3 linked regions of the Cricetulus griseus genome follow. The protein of the gene in region 2 interacts with the protein of the main gene of each other region in a pairwise test. Links are inferred from orthologs where the notes say so. Each region holds a gene or a part of one and is shown on either strand. Other genes may lie near its edges. The genes, in order: Pnrc2, Dcp1a and Rita1.

What was found.
Region 1: the proteins of Dcp1a (region 2) and Pnrc2 interact in binary tests that used the Homo sapiens proteins (3 or more experiments, as listed by UniProt). The link is inferred for Cricetulus griseus from reciprocal best matches to the Homo sapiens genes DCP1A and PNRC2.
Region 3: the proteins of Dcp1a (region 2) and Rita1 interact in binary tests that used the Homo sapiens proteins (3 or more experiments, as listed by UniProt). The two-hybrid records come from large-scale screens. The link is inferred for Cricetulus griseus from reciprocal best matches to the Homo sapiens genes DCP1A and RITA1.

Annotation. Positions count from the first base shown.
Region 1 is NC_048595.1:17,424,328-17,428,668, reverse strand, and holds Pnrc2 (proline-rich nuclear receptor coactivator 2), read right to left. Parts: upstream 2,874-4,341; 5' UTR 2,735-2,873; intron 1,991-2,734; 5' UTR 1,973-1,990; coding exon 1,553-1,972; 3' UTR 446-1,552; downstream 1-445. UniProt on the Homo sapiens protein: Involved in nonsense-mediated mRNA decay (NMD) by acting as a bridge between the mRNA decapping complex and the NMD machinery. May act by targeting the NMD machinery to the P-body and recruiting the decapping machinery to aberrant mRNAs.
Region 2 is NW_023276807.1:189,261,097-189,265,211, forward strand, and holds the start of Dcp1a (mRNA-decapping enzyme 1A), read right to left. Parts: upstream 2,933-4,115; 5' UTR 2,851-2,932; coding exon 2,716-2,850; intron 1-2,715. UniProt on the Homo sapiens protein: Necessary for the degradation of mRNAs, both in normal mRNA turnover and in nonsense-mediated mRNA decay. Removes the 7-methyl guanine cap structure from mRNA molecules, yielding a 5'-phosphorylated mRNA fragment and 7m-GDP.
Region 3 is NC_048597.1:100,419,634-100,422,240, forward strand, and holds part of Rita1 (RBPJ-interacting and tubulin-associated protein 1), read right to left. Parts: intron 2,566-2,607; coding exon 2,058-2,565; 3' UTR 2,046-2,057; intron 1-2,045. UniProt on the Homo sapiens protein: Tubulin-binding protein that acts as a negative regulator of Notch signaling pathway.

The sequences.
Region 1 (4,341 bases), on a different chromosome or scaffold from region 2:
CTCTTAAAAATTTTTGCTAGTTTAAATCCTGATAATTTTCTGTAAATAATCATGGAATGGGGAAATTTTCCATTAAGCTTTTTTTTTTTTTTCCCTTCGAGACAGGGTTTCTCTGTGCCTTTGGAGGCTGTCCTGGAACAGCCTGCCTCTGTCTCTGGAGTGCTGGGACTAAAGGCATGTGCCACCATTAAACTGTCTTAAACTCAACATTTTTAAGGTTGCACAGGATTGGTTTCATTTTTTTTACCATTAGCGATTCGGGAAAGTAAGTTTACTATATGGCTGGGTATGGCGGCATACACCTTTAATGGAAGCATGCTACAGAGACCCTGCCTCAAAAGAAGGTCCAGTTTAACAAGCAGTAAGTAAGCAAAGCAGTAACCTCACAGGCCAACAGTCATATCCCAAGATTAGGTAGCCGAAAATCATTAAAATGAAAACAATCTACTGGGGAGGAAAGAAGTTTTATTTCTGAATTTTGCGATTCAAAACCAGATCATAATTATTTTATGGACTTGTCCTTTTGTATACTCAATGTTTGATTTCGGCAGTATTTGTTTTGAACTTAATTGGCGATTTTGCTTATAAGCCCTGAAAAGCAACTTGCTATTTGTACTTTGCATAAAGAATCCTGGGTCACTTAATCATTCTAGGATTTGATAAAGTCAAAATGAATCTTTGGATTTAAAAAGATGTAGAGAATCTTAAAATCTCCTTAAAAACAGGAAATGTTCTTAGCAGCTTAAAGCCTTTTGATATAAAATTTAACACAATTGATATACTGGCACTTAAGCACAAGGGCAATTAAAAAAAAAACTGGAGACCTTTAAAATTAGGCCATAGTATTAAAAAAAAAAGTTCATGGTCTTACATTCAGCAAATTGACACTAAAAAGTCTTTTGTAGAATAAAGGCCAGAAAACTTTACATATGTTACAAGATTACATGTATTTACATGGCTCTTTTCTTCCCTAGGTATTTTAATTTTCACATACACAACTCCCTGCAAAGCAAGCTTTGTAGGAGTTAGGCCAGATCACCTCAGCAGGTTTGTAAGGATGCTATCAACGTGTCCTTTGAAAGCTAGTCAATATTTTGAAAGAGATTTGGTACATAAATGCCTATCCACTGACTGCATTTAAGAAATGACCACGGGGCTATCTACCTAATTCTAATAAGCTACAAGTGCCTTTACACATTTGCCACAAATATATGTAGCTACTTACAAAGATGCCTATAATGTTACGGTTTGGGTCCCTAGAATATGTAACTCAACTGTGTACCTTGTTTGCAGTCTTTGTATATCTTAACTAAACACTGTCTTTTGTTTGGTTTCTTGTTAGACAATAAAGCTGGTTACTGATCCCCAAATCTAAGCTTCAATTTAGTTAGCAAGACTACCAAGTAGAATTAGTTAAATTATCCTGACACTACACACACTACATAAATGTTTGAGTATACTTGTAAATTAGCAGTTTTATATAAAACTTCCCTAAAGTCAAACCAACTGATGGCTATGTGAACATCACAAAATTTAAAAGTACTTAAGATTTTTAAACCTGTACTTTAAGTAGGGTTTTAAGTTGAAATGTCATTGTTTCCTTATCTGAAGGGTTCAATGAAACAGGAACCCAGTGGCTTGGTGGCTTGGGAAGAACACTTGGTGATGGTGGTTCACTAAATTTGGCTCCGGCATAGTTCTGGTTAGCTTGAGGCTTAAAAAGCAAGCTTGGGCTTGATAGGCTAGCATTCCAACTTGGGTTGTTGGCGAGGCTCTTGTTCTTGCCCCCATTCTGCATGGCCTGCCGCGCAGCTGCCGCCGGATTGTACCCGTGTCCTCTTTCTTTTTTCTTAGGAACCATCTTCATCTGGGAATTCTGATCCTTGGTCTTCTGTCTATTGTGCTGTTGTTGGTTCTTACTAACATTTCTAGATTGGGGGGCTGGAATGTTATACCTCTCTCCACCACCCATCTTCAGCTTCTTTGTCACCTGAAAATAAATAAATGTAAACTAGTAAAATTCCACATATCCTTTCTGAAGTTTCCATAGCTCCGATTCTAGAAATGTTAGTAAAGAAAACAAGGCTAGCTGTTAGGAGACAGACTTGCCCCACCAGAGCATTCACCTCAAAAATATTGAAGCAAGTCCTGAATCAAACACCAAAAACAAAAAAAATTTATTTTTGTGAAAGCTAAATAAAATTAGCGAGATCTAGTCGTTCTGTGTACAGCCTAAGAAAATGGCCCACACACTTAAATTCACCACCGCCCCTTTCAGGCAGGGTGGCCTTATACCAGACTGGCCTCCAACTTGTTTTGTTTTCGAGACAGGGTTTCTCTGTGGCTTTGGAGGCTGTCCTGGAACTAGCTCTTGGAGACCAGGCTGGTCTCGAACTCACAGAGATCCACCTACCTCTGCCTCCCGAGTGCTGGGATTAAAGGCGTGTGCCACCACTTCTCGGCCTGAGGTTTTTTTGGTTTTTAAGACAGGGTTTCTCTGTGGCTTTGGAGCCTATCCTGGCACTCGCTCAGACCAGGCTCTCAGAAATCCACCTGCCTCTGCCTCTGCCTCTGCCTCCGGAGTGCTGGGATTAAAGGTGTGCGCCACCGACGCCCGGCCCGGCCTCCAACTTTAGTTTTCCCCAGCCTCTTGAGTGCTAGGATTGCAGGCAGGGATAAAGCATGGCTACAGTCCTTAATGGGTTAGAAGTGCATCTATCATTCAATAGGATACCTTTCAGTCTCCTTTTCAGATCGCAGGGTTTCCACTCTGTGTCCTCTTCCCTGCTGCCACGCCCAGGATAAGAGATGTTGCTTTCTGCTAGATCCTTTTCTTTGTCTCAATACATAAGTTTTCATGAGCCAATCTGCTGATTTCAGCCTGGGAGCTGAGGCCAACATCGAGTCTCCTCAGCACACAAGTTTGAGAGAAGTCCTAGCTAGAAAAGGAAAGATAATTCTTGAAAACAACCCAAGAAAGTGATCGCTTAAACTTTCTACAGAAGTAAATGGCTACTTCAAGGCCTCTAGATGTATCAAACCGTGACTTTCTTTGATCTCATAAACGTCCACTTAACTCTTGGTGATGTCTACATTTTAAAGTCAAACTTAGGAAGCATTCGCTCCTGTGACCACACCAAGGAACTAGGGACCATGTTAAGTCCGGATTTTCTGCTTCCAACCCCACACGTTTCCACACCAATGCTCTTCCCAACAATGTACATTGCGCTTTAGGTTACGACTCTACACTCCGGGTCCCGAAACATGGTGACATTTTTAAGCACGCACGCACGCACGCACGCAAGCCTCCCTAAAGTGAACAGTCAAACTAGCAAATACACCCTCACAAGACTGAGAAAGCCTCCAATATTTTTGTCCCAAGGTCCGCACTCCCAGCCCGGGGCTCGCCGCCGATGCCCCAGGGCTCAGCTAGGGGGCCGCGCTGCCGACCCTGCTTCCTCTTCAGCGGGGCCCAACAATGGGGCCCGCGGTGGCCAACATGGCCGCCCCCGCCACACTCACCGACTTCGAGTTCGGGCGGCAGCGGCGACTCCCTCTCGACCTCCAAACCTCCCTCCCTTTCCAGGGAGAAACGATGCACCGATCAAACCTGCCCACCAGCAACTCACAGACCACAGTTCCGTCTTCAACCCAGCTCCTTCTACCTTTACCGACAAAATGGAGGCCGCTGTGAGCGCGGAAGAGGGCCGGCGCCTCGGCGGCCAATGAGGACGCAGCTCCGCGCGTCGCGGCCAATGAGGCGCCGGCCGCCGCCTGTTGCTGGGGTCGGGGAGCGAGTGCGGGCAGGCTGTTGTGGTGGTTTGAAATCCTGCGGGAGGAGCATGTCGGGAGTAACTGCCCAGCCTCGGGAGCCGCGCTGCTGCGGGGCTCTCCGTGGGCCGCCGGCCTCCAGCTGCGCTCGCTGGTCACATAGCCACTTTTTATGGGTAGAAAATACTCAGCTGCCTCGGTGGCCAGGCCCCTGCCCAGCTGCCCTCAGTGGTTCGCCGCCCCGGGGCTGCAGTGGGTCGCCTCCCCACCCCGAGCCCCGCAGCCCTTCTGCACACGGCCGTCTTCACTCCTTCCGCGCCCCCCTCTCATCTAACTTGGGCTTTTCTGCTGGACCTGAACAGGCAACATCATCAGGGTCTGCTAAAAAGCAGCGCTGGCCGGTCCCTACTACATTTTTTTTTTTACCTTGTTTATTTTACTAAATAAAACGAGGGAGGAAAAAGATGCGGCTCAAGTATGACAGCAAGGCTCGGGGAAGAAAAAAGAGGGACACCTTTTGGTTTTTTGTTTTTGAAAAAGAAAAATACTATGTATCCCAAAATCAATGGT
Region 2 (4,115 bases):
GAACCATCTGCCTCCACTTCCCCAGTGTTGGATTGTAAGCACAAGTCACTACACCTGGCTTTTTATGGTGGGCACCTCAGGTTCTTTTACAAATTGTGTATCCATTCAACTCTATAGGTGTTTATATAATTGTAATCAATGTTCAATTCAACATGTCTACATCTGTAGCATTTTTCTATTTTAAACCTTAAGGACCACTAAAAAACAAAATACCAGAATTAGCTTTACTTTTTATTTTTATGCATTAACTTTTTTAAAAACTAAAAAACCAAACATACATGTTTGCCAGTACACACGTCTACGCAACATGTGTGCTGGAAACTCACAGAGGGCACAAGAGGGCATTGGATCCCTTGGAACTGGAGTTACAGATGGATGTGAGCCACCATGTGGGTGCTGAGAACTGAACCCAGGTCTTCTGAAGAGCAGCCAGTGCTCTTAGCTACCGAGGAACCATCTTTCCAGTCCCAGCTTTAACTTTGCCAAACCTAAAACCTTTCAACAAGGTATCTTAATGTTGAAGTATTTTGTGTTGCAACTTCAAAAACAAACAAAAAAACCTGACCAAACTTTAACAGTCTATCAAAGTTAATAGAAAAAGAAAGTAAACTGATACCAGGGCTGAACTCAGGGTCTGGGGCTGATGATGTAAAGCTGTATACCACTGAGCCAAATCCCTAACTCTCAGGAAATTTTCTTATATACTTTGTTTCACCTCTGGAGAATTTAGGAATATTTTCATTAGTAACAAATTTTGTGGTTAGTTAAGGACTACTACCAAACACTTTGTTAAGAATCCATGGATAGACCTCATTCTCAGACGTAGGCAATTCTGGTAGGTTTTTAAAATAAACATTTGAAAATTTGATTAAGAAATAACTTGGGCTGGATATATATAGCTCAGTGGTAGAGGTACAGTGCTTGAATAGGATCATGAGGCCCTAGGTTTGATCTTCTGCACTACAAGAAACAAAACAAGAAAATACAACCCATTAATATTCTTTCATCTGTTTTGACAAGAATATAGTCAGGTTTTAGGCACAGGCAGAGTGCTTTTATTTTTTTCTAAAACCCCAAAATCCTGTCAGTCTGTAGTTCTTGGCTTACACTGGATCTTGATAATTTAAATGTAACCAAAAGATTATCAAAACTTAACGTTATATCAAACAAATTGTTGTGATAAAAAATTAAAAATAAAGATCTGTTTCTTGTACATGTCTTCTACATCACAATGAAACTTATCCTTCTTGAGGCCTTTTCTTGCTTTAAAAAAAATGCTCTCATCAGAAAAAGATGACAGCCAGTTGTCTCAGAGTAAAAGTAAACTTGCCTCCCAAAATACATTGAGCAAAATTACAACTCACCACTAATAAATAAGAAAAGATGATGGTGAATGCACCATGTATCAAGATCCAAAAAAACAGCAGCTTAGGTTTCAATTTCATTTTAAAACAACTCCATGGTGAAAATCCTCAAGTGTTGCAAGCCTTTGTGAAAAACTACAAATAGGTAACAGTTATAAATGCTACTTGCAAATTCTCACCAATTGTCTGCAGCCCTTATGTTACAAATTTACATATAGAGGAAGCAGAGAAAAATGATACAAAATACTTCAAACTAAGGCACTGTTTAAAACAGGTATACCAGTAAAACAGTTTGTAATTTTATTCTCAGTGGCTTCCTACATCCCTTTCCCCTCCAGAAGGAGAAGGAAAATGATTATGGAAACTTCTTCTGACGTAAACTTTCATAAATGACAATACACTTCCACAAAATTACATCTATGTATCAGTGTCACAGTGAATAAAAGTTAGACCAGTCCTTCAGCGTTTTGTTAGTTCAAGGACCTCATTACTTGTTGAAGGGTGAACGCCTATCATTGATGAATTCTATTCAATCAACAGTTACAGATTAAAGGCATGAAGCTTTTACAGTTGAATGAATTAGAAAGAGTCAGCACAAGAAAATGGGAAACCATGTAAACAACTGAAAGGTACTTTAAGTTGAAGCTAACAAGTCAGTGAGTAGGCACTGTAACTTTTTGGAACTCCATCGCCACTCACAAAATCTAAAAAGTCCTCAGATGTGAGCCATCAAAGATTAGGTATCACCGGTCTCTTTTCCCTGCAAAAGGTCTCCAAGGAACCCTATTCTTACCGTAGTGCCCTTTCCTTAGATGCCTTGAAATCTTTCCCCAAACTCTAGAGTAGTTCGATTAAAGCGGGACTAACTCTTGAAACTGATTTTTTAAGCTTCAAATCCAAATCACCTCATTTAGGTAGGTTGGGGGGAGAGGGGTGGACTTTGTGATTAGACACATGTAATTTATCTAATAGTTCTCAAAGTCTGAAACACAGATTTCAGTCACAAAAATACCTCCCCCCCCCAAAAAAAACTAACTTGTCTCATATCCTTCCAATGCAACCAGTAAAAAAGTAAAATTACTCAAGTCCCCAGAACCGACCCCAAAGGACTGATCCTGCCTCATTCCTCCCCTCCATTAGATCTTCCCTGCTATATTTCTCCCGCTTCTTTCCTCCAATTCCGCGTGCCCCCGTCACCCCTCTGGTTCTGGCCGGGCCTTTAGGAGAGGTTCTGGCCTCGCCTTTGCGGTCCTGCTTCACTCCCCCACCCCCAATCCTAAGCTGCCTGCGCGGCCCCTTTAAGAGGCGGCAGCGGCCAGGTTGGCACCCTTCGCGGCTGGGCCTCACTCACCCACTGGTTGGCCTTAGGGCAGAAAGTGTACAGAGCGACCTGGCCCGTGAGGTCTGCGATGCTGGTGATATAGGGGTCGTGCTGCTTCAAGGCCGCCAGACTCATCTCTTGCCCTGCTCTACTCAACGACTCCATCTTGAATCCCGGAGCCGAGCCCCTCTGGCGGGGGCGGACTAGAGAACAGGAAAGTGCAATCCAGGCAAAGTTCCCCCAGCTCAGTCAGTCCTTCACTTCCGCCTAGCTGCCCGGCCTTGCGGAGGGTGGTACTTTAACTATTCTGTTCCGCCACTCCCACATCCTGGGAGCCTGGTTCCGGTCTCCGAAGGTCCGCATCTGCCGGAAGGTACTGGCTGGCGTCCGCGGCTGCGTGTGACGAGGAAGTAGCCCCCAGTCCTCGCTCACCTGGTGGGACCCGAGCTCCTTCCACGAGCACTCCCGGCTGCTCTCGGCTGCTCCCGGCTTGTGTCAGCCGGCGGGACTCCATCGCAGAGGCTGTCTCAGGTTCAGGCGCAGAATCGAAATGCTGCTGTGGAAATGACGTCTCCATGGACCGTTTAGAAAACTCAGAAAGTGTATGTGTGTGTGACTGTGTGTCTGTGTCTGTGTGTGTGTGTCTGTGTGTGTGCTGTATGTTACCTCCGACCTCAGACTGTGTGTGTGTGTGTGTGTGTGTGTGTGTGTGTGTGTGTGTGTGTGTGTGTGTGTGTGTGTGTGCGCGCGCGCGCGTGTGCGTGTGCAGTATGTTACCTCCGACCTCAGACTGCACCTTCAGACCTTCAGTTAACAATTTGGTAATTTTTGAAAGAAATGTTTCAAAGCAGCCAAACTAAACTCGGAAAGAGTGTGTGTGATCGTTTAGAAAACTCAGAAAGTGTGTGTGTGTGTGTGTGTGTGTGTGTGTGTGTGTGTGTGTGCTGTATGTTACTTTACCTCCGACCTCAGACTACACCTACAGACCTTCAGTTAACAATTTGGTAATTTTTGAAAGAAATGTTTCAAAGCAGCCAAACTAGCTTGCCTGGAATTACACAGGACTCCTTTTCTTTTGCCCTTTTCTCATATTTTTTTCTCATCCGAGTCCCAGGTAAATATTTCTATTGTTCCAGATTAAAGAACGTCGTTATTTAATACGAAGATCACTTTAAAAACAAACAAAGAGCAACTGGGAGGTGGTGGCACAGGCCTTTAATTTTAGCAGAGACAGGTGGATATCTGAGTTCGAGGCTAGCCTGATCTACAGAGCAAGTTCCAGGACAGCCAGGGCAGTTACACAGAGGAAACAAAACAAAACAAACCCCAAACATTTATTGGGCATCTTAAGTAGTGAGGTACTACTAAAAAGTAAAACAAAATGCCTACCCTATTTTCACCAAATTGCTTTAAAAACCATTTTCCTTTAT
Region 3 (2,607 bases), on a different chromosome or scaffold from region 2:
CACCTCTTTGGCTTCCTCCACTTCAAAACAAAACAACAAAACTAAAGAAACAAAGGATGGTCAAGGGGGATGGTGGGGGCGGTGGTGGTGCACGCTATGTGGGAGGCTGAGGCAGGTGATCTCTGAGTTCAGGCCAGCCTGGTCTACAGAGTGAGTGCCAGGACAGCCAGAGCTACATGGGGAAACCCTGTCTCAAAAACAACAAAACAACAAAAGGGTTATTTTATTTATGTGGGTGTACCCATGGAGTCCATAGCTGGCTGCAAAATTCATTGGAACTAGAGTTACAGATGTTTGTGAGCCACTTGAAGAGGGTGATATCTGAACTTAGGACCTCTGACAGAGCAGTTAAGTTCTCTTAACCCTTCAGTCCCCAATTCACTCATTCTTCCTTCCTTTCTTCCTTCCTTCCTTCCTTCCTTCCTTCCTTCCTTCCTTCCTTCCTTTCTTCTTGAGACCGGGTTTCTTTGTGTAGCCTTGGCCTCTGCCTCCCGAGTGCTGGAATTAAAGGTGTGCACAAGCACGGCCTGGCTACTCTCCTTTTCTTAAAAGGTGTGTGTGTGTGTGTATACATCACATGCATGCCTGATGCCTGCAGAGGTCAGTAATTCCCAGAACTGGAATTACTGGCAGTTATGAGCCACCTGATGTGGGTGCTGGGAACCAAACCGAGGTCCTCTGGAAGAGCAGTGTGCACTCTTAACTGCTGGGTCATCTCTCTAGTGCCCCTCCCTCTACCTTTTGTTGTTCCCATCAGGCTGCGCCCGTTCTATCACCCCCAGCTGCTCTGACACCACAGCCTGGTATTAACCACACTCCAGGCCTGGTATCAACTACCTGGTGGCATCACCCTGGGCTCCAGCTGACCTTTAGTATAGGCAGGAGAAGAATGTGTGCTTCTATTTCTAGCCTGTGTCTATCAACAGGGAAGGGATAGAGAAAAAGGAGGTAGACTAACCAATCCTTTGTACAAGTTCTAGAAGCTTAAACATCCTATGTGGCTAAAGTGCAGTGTGTCTGTGCCCAGATATGGCTGTCTGACCTCTGTACACACATGTCCCTGGGCCAGGCTATACCTAGACGATGGTGAGTCGCCCAATGGAATCCATGAAATGCTCATGGAGGGAGGGGGACCAGGAGAGGCTCAGGACCCCATTGTCATCATCCAGGGAAGGATGTAGGACCTGAGTGAAGCTCTGTGATCCAGGGCCCCAACTGCAGTGCAAGGGAGGGCAGCACCTAGCAGCCCAGGCCTAGGGCTCTGCAGATGCCTGTCCCTGCCTGCCTTTTCCACCTGGCTCATCACTAAGTCCTGCTCTGTTTTGTTAGGGGCAGAGGTTGCTGGGCATTGATCCCAGGGCCCCATTCATGTATGTTAGGTAAACACTCTACCACTGAGATACATCCTGCCCCCCGCAACAAGACAATTGCTAGCAAAGGACTCTTACTATGTCCTGAGCTGGCAAGAACTACCCACCTACTCATGTATGGAATCACAGGACAGAGACAGGATTGGGGTAGACTAAGCATTACCTGAGGTCTATGTCCTCAGACCTCAGCAGCCAGTCATTTCTGCCACATGAACAAATCACCCACGGTTCTGTTTAACTGTACTATTTAAATCCTCAGAGGCCTTTACTTAAGGGGGAAAAGGTAACACACCACTGGGTTTTGATGAGCTAAATACATTTAATACCTGGAATAAATACATGAATATTAAAATAATGTCTCCTCATTTTCCACCCTTGGGGTCCATACACAGCCCAGGAAACTCCTTTAAGGCCCCCAGACCCCTGTAGAAACTGAATCCTGAGCAGGGAGCTGGTGGGATTTGGCACCCATGCACAAAGAGGCTGAGAAATGGCCAGAGAGACATCTCTAGGACCTCCAAAAACCCTGCAGAGAGTGCTAGGGACATCCTGAGCTTGTGGGGACAAAGGAAAGTATGACCCATCTTCACCATGGAGGCATCTCCAGTGCTTGGGGGCCCTGGTCCCCAGAGGGCCCCACCTGAGCTGAGTCCTTGCTGTGAGCCAAAGGCTTACCTGGTGAGAGTCTCACTTCCAAGGAGGCTTTGGCTTGAGGGGGCCGGTCCCTCGTTGTAGGGCAGCTGGTCCTGAAACACTGCCTGACTGTGCCTTGGAAGTGACCAGGGGACTCTGGACAGTCATCCTTGATGTGGAAGGCCGGGGACTCCAAGGTCCATTGGTCTGGGGGACACTGGCATCTAGATGACCCATGCTGGGGACACTCAGGTGGGTGACTGAATGGGAACGCCTCTGCTCCAGAGAGTGGGGAGCATCCAACCCCTCCTGGGGTGTCTTCTGGGAGCCCCTGGTCATGCTGGGCTCTGTCCTGGTGGGTCCAACGGGGTGAATGGCTCGAAGTGGGGTCTCCCTGGGGTGAGGTGAGTGGCCACCCCTAGGGGTGGCTGGTGGAGTCCAGAAAAGGGTCCAGAGCTTGGCAGCATCCCCCACGGCTGTCCGAGACCCCTCCTTGCTGAGGCCCTGTGGCCGGGAGCCAAACAATGACTCATCACAGAAGGATGGGGTGTGGCCAATCAACCTAGGAAAGGGAAGGATGCAGTGACCTGGGGTGACACACTAA